Linked DNA regions of Danio rerio. The protein of the gene in region 3 purifies or fractionates together with the protein of the main gene of each other region. This does not show direct contact. Links are inferred from orthologs where the notes say so. Each region holds a gene or a part of one and is shown on either strand. Other genes may lie near its edges. The genes, in order: pals1a, nf2b and amotl2a.

Region 1 (3,919 bases), on a different chromosome or scaffold from region 3:
TAGGAGCAGTATCAACAGCTATTAATCAGACAGTCTACTAATACTCAAATGAAAAGTTATTGGGATGTAGCTGCAATGCATCTTTTTAGTCAACAAACGTGCAATACGGACCATCAAAATAAAGTGTTACCCAAAATTGTATTAAAATAAAATAAATATATATTTACCAGGATGTCGAAGACTTCGTTGACATCTTTGCCACGGATTTCCACACCGTTGATCTCCAGGATCTCGTCTCCTTCGTGTAGCAGGCCGCTGCGTTCTGCCGCCCCCCCTTTAACAATCCGGCTGATGACCACACTGTCCATATCATTTCTAACAGTCGCTCCCTGTATTAATAGGCATGTGCACAGTCAATTAAACATGGGTCAGAAGTCTAGTAGGGCACAATAAACTGGGAAGCGGCACTGAAAGAATTCCTTACCAATGGGATGTCCTTGGCTTTTTCAATCCGTACAATTTTGACAGTCTCTCCTCCCCACTGGGTGAGAGTCTCGCTTGCATTGACAGAAGGAACAAGAGGCTCCAGCTGCATCTCTTGTTCAGCCACGCTGTCATGTGCCATCATGAGCGCCTGAAGGACATGGAGAGAGCCAGAGATGATTGGTTACATTCAGGATTAAAGCCACTGTGCTTTGCAGAGCTGACATGAGTCTGACCCTTATGTCATGATATAGAGTTCAAAGAGCCCTTGGACAGGCACTGTGATCTTAGCTATGGGCTTCAGCAGTATAGAGGGATGTGTGTGCGTGTGTGTGTTTGTGCGTGCTTGCGTGCGTGCGATGGAGACACACCTGCATGTGGGACGTTGAGAGCAGGCTGCTTAGCTCAAGTCCTTCCTTGTGTGAGCTGTTTTGCACCATGACCTCCACCTATGCAGACAAAATACGAAAGATGCTTAATTGACCTAAACACATCTGGCAAAATGTGTACAATATATACACTGCTGTTCAAAAGTTTAAGGTGAGTATTTTTTTAAGCACTTATAGCCATTAAGGCTGCAATTATGTAATCAAAAACACAGTAAAACCAGTAATATTAAAAAATAAAATTACAGTTTATGTTATAATATATTATTAATTGTAATTTTATCGCTTTCGTAGCCTTTTCAGTAGCAATACGGTATGCAGAAGTATGCAGAAGGACTTTTCATTTTGTAGAAACCTGGGTCAAGCGCTTCCAGTGAACTGTATGCAGTTACAATATTGGAGCGTTTAAGATCTGTTTTCTTTAAAAATCAATGATCTCCACTGCCTAATTGGTATACAATATAAAGTGGGTCTCTGAATGTACAAAACGCACTGCTTTAAATTACATTTTCCCGCGTCATGTCTTTAAAAATATGAACATTTATTTTACTCCAGTATTTTAAATGGCTATTCTGCGCTCGATATGGGAAGAAACACTAGCTGTGCATATAACATAGTACTCTCATTTTGTGTGTTAACTGATCCTTTTAAAATCAATAAATGTGCTGATTTGACATCTAAGAAATATTTGTTTTATAAAGGGGAAACTTTTCATTTTTTATTCCTAGATGAGTATATTATTCTTTTATTCCTTTATGAATAGATTTTTTAAACAGTTATCCTTTGTGTTATTAATAAAAACGCTTTACTGCTTTGCTACATTGTTAGATTTATTGCATAGTTCCTGAATAACGGCCAATCCACACAGGCTTAAGCATGGGACTGAGCGATTATCGAAAAGTAATCAAAATCTGCATTCAGAATCTGTAATCCATCTAATTTTTTCAGGTCAATTTTTTTCAATTATTTTCCCTACCGCTCTGTTAAGGCTGATTTACAGGGTCAAATGCAAGTGTGTTTATAAGAAAAAAAAGATTGTTGGTTTCAGACAGTGTGTGTTTTAATTTCCAGTTGTAATAAATAATTAAAGATTATAGATAGTATTTGTTTCCTGTAATTATTTTAAAATCAAGTGATGCATCCTTCATTTGGAAATCTCTTGCTCAGGCTTAAGCATGGGACTGAGCGATTATCGAAAAGTAATCAAAATCAACATCTAGAACCTATAATCGATCAAAATTTTCCAAGTCAATTTTTTCAATGATTTTTCTCTACCGTGTGTATAATTTTCTCTACCACTCCTAAACTTTTTCTGGTACTCCTAAATATTTAAAGTTGGGAACACCGGTGTAACAAAGTATAAAAAAAGTTAATTTCGAGCCCTGAGTGGCATAAAATAGTCTTTAAAAATGTCAATATCATTCATCGCAATCTATTTTGGTGCAATATTTCGTACAACAAAAAATAGATATCATGGCAGACCTACACATAATATATTATGCAACTGTCATACAATCCTATAATGCTAAATGAATAGGTAATGATCCATATGATTTCTGCACTGCACCAAACAGGAAAAGATGTTTACTTTCAGGTTATGAATGTAGAAAATAGGCTTCTGACCCCATGATACAAAGCTGTACAAATCCAAAGCAAATGAGAACTTGGAATAAGTTTTGTTGGCAACAAGTGATTACAATCTACCGTGTTCAATCTGATGGAGAACATACAGGAAATTTTTGGAGAACAAAAACAGTATTTCTAAGAAGATCATCAAGCTATGTAAAAGATGTGTCCGCATTTTGAATAGTTTTTAACCTGCCCCATGAGAGAGGCTTTTACTGTGAGAGCAGAGCACAGGTCAGTGGATCTGGGTCTTAATGAATGCTGAGGACAGAGCGGCTCTCTGTCTAGTATTGTCCTGCACTGTGTGAGAGAACTAAAAACAACAACCATGAGTTTATCAGGCTCTCATTAGCACTTCACACAACACTGACTCCAACTAAAGAGCCTTTTCATCAAACATCATCTTCATTTGTGCACATACTTGTTCAGCCAGTGCTCAAATGACTGCTCATAAGATGCAATCTAATCACAAACGGACAACTGATAAATAGGGACAACAATGTTTTAAGCCTTTCACCATGCATTTAAATGGACAGTTTTCCTAGTGTAAGCCCTCATGTGATCAAATGCATTCAAAAACAGCCACAAAAGGCCAACTAACCACTGCCTTCTGATATATTCCTTAAAATTAAGACATGTGTCATTGAAGCATGTTAACCAGAAGGGATTTAAACTCAAACCTAACTTACATTTTACACAACAATGTTCTTATACCAGTAGGGATGTAATGATTTACCAGGAGTTCAAGGTTCAACACTATGGATTTATTGATTTCCTACCAATCTGAGCAGTGGTTGAGATTTTTACTAGCCCTGCCAAAATTTTCACTGGCCCCACCAAAAAAAAAAGTTAATAGCTATTTCTTATATGTTAAATAATGTGTCAAAAATAACGTCTGTGAATGCAGAATTTAAATATTTTTTAAATGTTATTAAATGTATAATGAGCAAAAGTCTTATGCAAACAAAAAGAACAGTATGGAAAATGTGCAGGTATTTTATTGCAGATCTTAATTATTTAAAATAAGGTGGCTGACTTGCCAAACTGACGGCAAACTGTGCAAGACATTGCTTCATTTTTTTCGTTGTTTTGTAGCCACGTAAATATCTGTTTTTAAGAAGTTAAAAACAAATGTTTTCTTTTAGCCTCATAATTTGATGTTGCCACCATGTTGCAGTCTCTTCGCTGTAAAGTAATATGGTGTTTACAACATCACAAAGAAGGTTGAATTTAAAAGCTTAAAAGCACAAACTGTTTCTCGACTCTGAGACTGTATTTGCACGCAATTGACAAATAGTTGCATTAATTAAAAATAAAACTTTAGTGACAAGGCAGCACTGGCGCAATAAAATAAATAAATAAAATAATCGTTCATTAATCGTAATCGAGTTAAAGTGATTTTGATTTTAGGCCAAATCGCCCAGCACTTAATGGCCTGGGGCCAGCGTCAGAGATGCTCGGGACAGTAGACAGGATTGTTACTG
Region 2 (3,919 bases), on a different chromosome or scaffold from region 3:
TCTCTTCAAAAGATATTGAAAAAAACGACTTGATTTGTTTTATTGAACTTAGATGTTTTTGCTTTTGATTCATATGGACACATTTTATCTATGTTTTGACACATTAAAGTTTTGAGTAAACAGGTTTTCAATGAAAAAGAATGTTCTGTTCTCTCAGATATCTGTGCTTCAAAGATGAACAAAAATCATATGGGTTTGTGATGACATGAGAGTGAGGAAATGCTGACATAACTGGCAATTTTTGCTGATTTAACACCCTTTATCAAGATTATTATTGATACAAATTTTTCTCTAGTACTGATATCAATGGCCTACCTCCTCTCTGACTGCTCAACAAGCTTAACGGCCAGTTGTTCTGCTTCTCTCATCTTTTGCTCCATCAGCCTCTTCTCTTCTTTGGTTTTAAGAGCCGTGACCTCCAGCCTCTGCCTCTCCTGTTCAGCCTCAGCCGCTTTGTGGGCCAGCAGCTTGGCCTCCTCCTCAGCGATCTGGGCTTTCTCCGCCAGAAGATCGGCTGTTTCCTCAGAGCGCAGCTGCAGAAAGGAAAAAGCGATAAGAAAGACTTACAGACTCAAGCACAGGGAGTTTCACAACCTGACTGGAATTCTAATGGGAGCCCAGGACAATGGTTTAGACCTCAATATGTCTGCAGTTCATCTCAAATTTACGTCTGGACCACATACTTCTATACTTCAGGGCCTTTGAGGACATAAAACACAAGCTGGCGGGGGAAAGAAAGCTATTTGGCATCGCTCAATTTCAATCTTGGCAAAATCCTCACTAGAGCTTCATTGGCCATTCGAGCCTCGTCTTGCAGCTGAAACATACGCCGCTCCATCTCTTCTTTCGCTCGCTCTGCTTCCTCTCTCATCTGCTTCTCCCGTGCAAGAATCTGACGTTCAACCTAGACACACAGCATAAATCAAAGGCAGACATTAGAAAAAAGAGAATGCTGAATGAGAAACATTTTAATATAAATCTTCAAAATGATTTTTAGTCTTAGTCTTTTGAATAAAATTCCAATTTAGTTTTAGGCATATTTTAGTCTTCTGAATCATTTTAGTTTTAGTCTAGTTTTAGTTTTAATTTATAATATTTAGGTTGACTAAATCTACTCAAGATAGATTTGATCAAATACATTTGGTTTAATTTAAGTGTGATTGTAGCTACCCGCAGGTTATTAAACAGTCCACGCTTCCCAAATACAGATAGCCATGCATTTTATTTATTGAACATTGTGAAAACTAAAAAGATAAACAAACAAACCAAATGTTTCACACAATCACAATCAAAATAAACAAATAATAAACAAAATGTTTACCGTTATAATGTTTACCGTGTTGGCCTGATAACCAGCAGTGGAATAATCAGGAGCATTTAACATGTGTCTGCATTGAGATCTCACTATGCTGTCCATACCAACTCTTGCAGGGTACATCAATCAAAGAGGATCGTGTGACCTCTGACTCAAGCCAACCGGAAACAAGGAAGTTTATAAAATAAACAAACTAATACACTTTATTTTTTTTAATTACACTAATTGTTCTGTAAATCTGTACTGTTTATTTATGCTCAATATATGTTGTCACAAATACAATATATTTACAATATACTCCTTTTATTCAAAGCTGAATTTTCACAGCTTCTTAATACCTTTGAAATAAAAAAAATTGTTTCAGGACTCTTTAAAACAAGTATTAATTGTAAAATAAATGGTACTGGCCAAAATAACATCTTTAACAAATGAAACATGTACTGCATGATAGGGCTGTGCAATAAAGACAAAATAATCATATTGCGATTTTTTTGAACGAATATTGTGATTGCGATTTTATTTGTGATTTTGGCAACTGTTTTTGCTTTTGCAAACAAGCAACATACATACATTCTATATGTATTCAGTGCACAATATTTGCTTAACAAAACATAACATAGTATTAAGTTTAATAAACAAAACTGTCGTAAAATTGTCTTTAAAACAGACAACATAAAATAAACTTGTTGAAATACACCTGCTCAATTTAATTCATCCTTATTTCTATAGTGCTTTTACAATGTAGATTGTGTCAAAGCAGCTTTACATAGAAGATTATAGTAAATTTAAACTGTGTCAGTTCAGTTTTCAGAGTTGAAGCTCAGTTTAGTTCATTTCAGTGTGATTTTCACTGTTGAAAGTCCAAACACTGAAGAGCAAATCCATCTTATGCGCAGCTCCAGAAGTCCTGAACCATGCAAGCCAGTGACGACAACGGCGAGGAATAAACTTCACCAATTGGAGAAAGTGAAAGAAAAACAACTCTGAGAGAAACCAGGCTCAGTTGGGTATGACCATTTCTCCAATGGCCAAACGTTTTGTGCAGAGCTGCAGTCTAGGCACCAGAGGTTGGAGAACGCTGGTCATCAATCAAGGAGAAACTGCAGGTGGGAGAGGTCACTGGCTGGCGTACATGCTGGCCCTTCAAGATCAATTCAAGGACTCGTCTGTCACTGGGGTCTTACAGGAATCAGTCTCATGCGCTTCACTCCTCCATGACCACCACAGCAGCTGGTGATACAGCCTGGTCCAGGATTATGGAAACCTCGGGAATAACTTGTTGCTCTTCACAAAGCATGATGGTAAAGCTTCTTTAAAACCTTCAGATATATTTTCTCTAGTGTGGTCTTCTTGGAAGAATGCTGTTTGCAAACAACCACTTTTCATTTCAAAGTTATCATTAAAATAGTGGACCGTTAAATAAAGTATTTCACCTACTTGAGCTTGTGTTCAACGCCCGCCATACATTTCGGAAATAGCAAATCGTGTGAAATGAGTGCGAGATGGCAGCTGGTATCTTTTGTCAAGCGTTTGTATTAGTTTTCGGAAGCTGTCTTTACTGACAATGTGCGCAGGCATGATATCTTTGCATATATGATAGGTGATAGCGTCGTTAATTTCTTTGTGCCGTTTTGATCCTTTCTCATAAGCCATGGCGCTTGCAAATGCTTGAACAATGGATACTTGTACAATCTGTTGTGCTTTTCTTTGTTTCATTGGATTTTGTCGACATGCATTGATCATGCAGTTTTTTATGACGCTGTTTTAAATGTTAGAACAGTCTTGCAAATTACCTTGCTCTGTGACACATCCTCTCTTCTGAATCCAAAATACTCCCAATTGACTGACGTTGATTTTTTTTTGCCACCAAATTATTTTTACTTTGACCTGCATCCATATTTTATGTTCTGTCCTCCCGCTACTCTATTCGGTTCCCCACTCAACTTTGTTGTGCACAGAGTGTGCTGGTTAACATCTTTCTCCTGCTCAGCTTATCTGTGATTGTATGCGTCAGCTCTATTTGGTTAAAATTAAAGTCGTGCAAACAAGAACATTTTCTGGATAAAAAGAAGTAAATTTTAAAGTAAAAAGATAAAAATCGCAGCCTAATACGGTTTAGAAATACCATGTGCTTATATTGCGTTTTTTTCACGATTATGATTAATTGAACAGCCCTACTGCATAAGTTATATTTTAATGTTTAAACAAATAAATGTTTACTATATTTCATTGTATATCTGCATAAACATTAAATTCATAAAGAAAAGAATTAATTTGGAGTAACACCACTATGGTTAACATATGTAGAATGGAAGAAAATTACCTTCTTCCTAGCTTTCTCCTCTTTGGCCTGAGCCTTCATCTGCTGCACTTCTATTGAATCCACCTTCCTCCTCCTCATGAACAGGTCATGGTTCCCAATACACAGCTGTAAGATCTAAAATATACAGTAAAAAATTTATGTGAGCAACTACTTGAATATACTTTATTACACAAATACTCATAGAAGTAGCTCACCAGTTTGTTAACTCTAAGCTGGGATGAGTAGAATTTAAACACTTCCTTTTTCTTGTCCAGTGGTTTGATAGTAAACTGAGAATAGAC
Region 3 (4,633 bases):
CACTGTCTGTATCTGTTTGTACAGCAAAACGGGAGCTAAGCATAATAAATGTGTGATATGTGAAGTATGGTACGTGCGTTGTGTGTGACGGGCGTCAGGCGTGTGTGTTTGTGAATCGTGTGTGCAAGGGAGGTGTAGGGTATAGAGCAGATGGTAGACCTCTCCCCTGTAATGTCTGTTTCAGAGAGAACAATACGTCTCTCTTTCTGAGGCATGATTAAGGGCTGGAAGAGGATTGCTCTCCATGGACAGCTGGTTGGCAGCATGCCTCAAACACACATACACAGACACCCCCTCCCCACCATCCACACACACACACACACACACACACACACACACACTCAGCAATTAACTGGCACGGGCCACAGCTTAAATATTCACCAGCCCAGAGCAAACAAAAGACCTCAGATTTCATTTATTAATGTGTATTTTCCATATGTATTTATTTAGATTTTCCACCTAATATAAAAAAACATGGACTTGAGCACTAAAGCATTTTGACTTATGAAAAATTTTAATTCAAAGCTCACCTCATGTCATTCCAAAGCCACACTGGCCTCCTTTTACAGAACACAAAAGTAATGAATGCTTATTATTAATACTAAAATACCATTTTTATGATTGTCATATTGGATTACAGAGTATAGAAATTGAGTCGGGGAAAGAGAATATCATCTCAAGGAAAACATTCAGAAAAGTATATTAATATAATATGTACAGTGCTCAGCAAATATAAGTACACCCCTCACAAATCTATCTTTTCAATTCATCTTTTTTTTTTTTTTGGAGGCCTTACAATATTATATTTGTGCATATCCATTAGATAAGTCAGTACTGAAGCCGAATCTGGAGCTGAAAAATATTAAATACAAATTTGAAAAAAGAAGAAAATCAAGAGAAGAAAAAAATTCAAAAATGTATTTGAAATTTTGTAGGTTGCATTTTTTTGCAATATTTTGCTTGAATTTAATTGTATTATCTTTCAGTTTCTAAATATGTTTGGTGACTAAAATATTATTTTAATAAATACATCTGTTTAATAAATCTTTTTCGTTTGGATGCACCAAAACACATTGCCTATATTCACTGAGAAATGGAAAAAATATAGATTTTTATAATGTGGTGTACTCAAGTATGCTGAGCACTGTAACTATGATTACAAGTATTTTTATTTTATTTTGGAAATAATCTTTATGTAAAAATAATAATTCATCATATATAAATATAGCAGTTGAGTGCCTGTAAAAAGAAAATCATCGCTGTCAAAGGTAAACATTAATAAAACTAATCTAAAAAGATAAATGACTTATTGTTTACATACAAAATACATTGTAAATACACATGAGAGAGCTAAAACTTCAAAAGAAAGCGTAGTTACAGATCCCTGCGACTTTTACTGCATTCCTCTCACTGTTAAAAAAAACGCCTTCCAGACAACAAATGCGCACGGGGCTGAGAGTGAATGCAGTTCCGCTTGTCGCGCGCACTGCCCCCCTTCAGCGGCGCGCTCCGCTTGGGGCCGCTCGGTTCTCCGGCGCTCCAGAGAGAGAGCGAGAGGAGGAGGCGGGGCGAGAGACAAGCGGAACTGCTTTTGATCCCCGAGGGACTCGCAGCCTTCGCATTCCGCGCATTCCAGAGGCCGTGAACAATCGGAGCTCGGTCATTTATTAGCAGAGCCCCTCCCGCTCTGAGCTCAGTCTGCTGGAGAAGCTCTCCAGGCGCGCACGCACGAACATACGCATGGAAATATAAGTCGTACTCAACACATTTCCAGAAGGATTATATCTTTAAACATAGAGACGAGTACGGAAAAGCATTGTAACTTTTATTCGTGATGCCACTGTGACTCGGTGAGTTTTTTAAAGACTTCTAACGCAGCTTGTTGTTGTAAACGAACTCTTTATATGGCACATTGCTTAGTTTTCTATAAGAGCGATGGGTTTGTTATTGTGGCTAAACGTTTACTCATTAAATAAACTGCAGTGTGTGCATGGAAGGGCTTTGTTTATAGGCAGAAGCCAACTTTGTTTTGGTGCATTTGTTCTGGAAGAATTTATAATACTTTAGTTGTACATTCTTTAAAGTACACTAATAGAATGAGGAACTAAACGTTTATTTCAAATCTTGTTTTCATGCTTCTTTGGTATGTTCGAATGTTTTACTACAGTTGTGGTTGTAAAACAAATATGATACACTGGATAGGAATTTGTAGTTTGTAGCAGGAAATAATTTGTGCAACTTTGGAAAGTTGTTGGATTCTAACTGAATTTTCCATTGCTTCCTATGCTAATCAATAGTATAAACTTGAGCAGAAACCCAGCTCATAGTGGGTGTTGTAGGATGGTGCCATTGGTATTTTGGGTGAACGTGGTGTTGCTATGGGTAAAGGCAGTCAGCCTAGAAGCATGTGGAGTGAGGCACCACTCACTGGTTTGTTGTTAGAGAGTGTTTCAATATAGCTGAACAATAGAAAGGATTTGCATTTGAAATATTTATTTTTTTATGCAGGTTCACAGTCTAGAAGATCTTTCATAACACAGTATCACTGATTGCTGTCTGTTAAACATAGACTGAAATGAGAACGGCAGAGGAATCATCAGGAACGGTGCTGCACCGACTGATTCAAGAGCAGCTTCGTTATGGAAACCCTACCGATCCTACTCTGTTAGCCATCCAGCAGCAGGCTCTGCGTGGAGGCAGCAGCGGTGGAGGTGCAGGAAGCCCTCGTTCATCCTTGGAAAGCCTAACACAAGAGGAATCACTTTCTCCCCAGTTGTCCGCCCGGCAAGAGCCCCAGGGCCAAGAGCACCAGGGTGACTTCCAGCATTCAGAGAGTCCTGTTTGTCACCTTTATCAGCTCCACACAGAGGAGCTGCCTACTTATGAGGAAGCAAAGGCACACTCACAGTATCTTGCCTACCAGAGAGGACAGATAGGGCTTCATCACGGCAGTCTGGAGAGCCCTGGAGGGGTTGGAGGAGCCGAACAGGACGACAGCATGTGGGATGCGAAACGAGAGCATGCACGCTCACTAAGTGAGCGTCTTTTGCAACTCTCACTAGAGAGAAATTGTGCCCATGACAATATTCCCATGAGCTCATCGCATAGTTATCCCCAACTCTCTAATAACCACTCTGATTCAGTTGTGAATGAGCAGTCAGTTCATCAGCCAGACCAACGGGGTCCTCCCCCGGAGTACCCCTTCATGGTCAGATCCCCTGGATATATGCTTAGTCATTCACAGGAACATGGACACTATTATAATGAGCCCCCTCCTGCCTTCCATTCACAGCATTACAGGTAAAATTATATTTTGGTCGCATTGTATATACTGTACACTCTATATGAACATCATGGGTGTTCTAATGTTTATTTTTGTCTCTCTCAGGCTATTTCCAACACAGCCACAAGCACCTCGTCACAATGGCCTGCCCACATTGACCCCTGCTGGCCAGGATGTCAATGTTGGAGGATACAGCATCCCAGCGAACAACTTCCAAATGGAGCAGCTTATTAAAGAGAACGAAAGACTGAAAAGAGAAGTGGACAGCTACAGTGAGAAGGCGGCAAGGTTACAGAAGGTAACAGGATTCTTTGTGTGATTGCAACTTCCTTGCAACCTTCTAGAACTGTGATGTTTTTGGTATGACCTCACATTTTGCCAAGGATGCAAAAAGGCAGCTGTGTCCTTTGATTGTGAACTCAGACATGACCTACAAAGAGTGAGAACAAGAAATCATTGTGCGCTGGTGTCTTCTAGCCTCTGCATTCTAAGAAGATTAGCTCTCTTGCCGTGTAGGAATGCATGCAAGGGAGAGGATCACAAGGACTTCAATTTAATTTGAAAAGGACACATTCTTGGTCACTGAGTGAAAATTCCCAGTAACTTATTTAGCATGCGAAACAACACTGAATTTACCCATGCCTAAAATGCCATGCATTTTTCTGTAATGTGATAATGTCATCACTGAAATACCAAAGTGTTATGGCAGAGCAAGGGGGAAAAACAAGCTTATCTTGGTGTTTGTTTTGCTAAAGTTTATTGGGCCTATTGTGTGTCGTTCAGTGGCAAAAGCTAGATTGAGTTTCAGTGGAATTCAGTCCATACATGGTGCTTGGATTAAAAACTATGTTCTTAAAATATTCTATCCTAAAACACTGATTCATGAACATTAAGCCACTATCATACAAACTACCAAATTTGAAATCCCAGTCAACTTTAAAGGGGAAGGGGGCCTCGCTGGGTTTTTCCTGTGGCCCTCTTTGTTAGGATTCCAATGGGATTCCAATAGGAGCAGATGTCTTGGCTCATCTTCGTGTCCGAGAATGAAGAAGGGGCTTTGGCTAGCCCACAGCTGATGGACTGGGCTGCAAAGCGCAATCACAAGGTCTCACAGCTGTGGATTCCCTGATTCAATGGCCCCTTTCACTTTCACTCTTGAACAGAGCTCCACACGGCACCTTTTGACCTGCTTGTGAACCTACACATGTAGGTTGCATATATGTAGTTTTTAAGTTAAAAATAAAATCCAGAAAAGGGAAGAAATTATAAAAATAAATCAGTGGTGGGGTTTTGTAAGCTTCCATATTTGTTTATTTGGAAAATTTTGTTCCTTTTGGACGATCGCTTTCT

The links.
Region 1: the proteins of amotl2a (region 3) and pals1a purify together in Homo sapiens (affinity purification with mass spectrometry; 3 studies listed by BioGRID and IntAct, counting the BioPlex papers as one, with this or other methods). This does not show direct contact. The link is inferred for Danio rerio from reciprocal best matches to the Homo sapiens genes AMOTL2 and PALS1.
Region 2: the proteins of amotl2a (region 3) and nf2b purify together in Homo sapiens (affinity purification with mass spectrometry; 5 studies listed by BioGRID and IntAct, with this or other methods). This does not show direct contact. The link is inferred for Danio rerio from reciprocal best matches to the Homo sapiens genes AMOTL2 and NF2.

What each region holds. Positions count from the first base shown.
Region 1 is NC_133192.1:35,933,371-35,937,289, reverse strand, and holds part of pals1a (protein PALS1), read right to left. Parts: intron 873-3,919; coding exon 795-872; intron 575-794; coding exon 425-574; intron 330-424; coding exon 168-329; intron 1-167. UniProt on the Homo sapiens protein: Plays a role in tight junction biogenesis and in the establishment of cell polarity in epithelial cells.
Region 2 is NC_133196.1:27,255,372-27,259,290, reverse strand, and holds part of nf2b (NF2, moesin-ezrin-radixin like (MERLIN) tumor suppressor b), read right to left. Parts: intron 3,908-3,919; coding exon 3,833-3,907; intron 3,753-3,832; coding exon 3,639-3,752; intron 905-3,638; coding exon 782-904; intron 534-781; coding exon 316-533; intron 1-315. UniProt on the Homo sapiens protein: Probable regulator of the Hippo/SWH (Sav/Wts/Hpo) signaling pathway, a signaling pathway that plays a pivotal role in tumor suppression by restricting proliferation and promoting apoptosis.
Region 3 is NC_133181.1:30,489,816-30,494,448, forward strand, and holds the start of amotl2a (angiomotin-like 2a), read left to right. Parts: upstream 1-1,695; 5' UTR 1,696-1,850; intron 1,851-2,508; exon of another isoform or gene 2,509-2,569; 5' UTR 2,570-2,575; coding exon 2,576-3,300; intron 3,301-3,388; coding exon 3,389-3,581; intron 3,582-4,633. UniProt on the Homo sapiens protein: Regulates the translocation of phosphorylated SRC to peripheral cell-matrix adhesion sites. Required for proper architecture of actin filaments.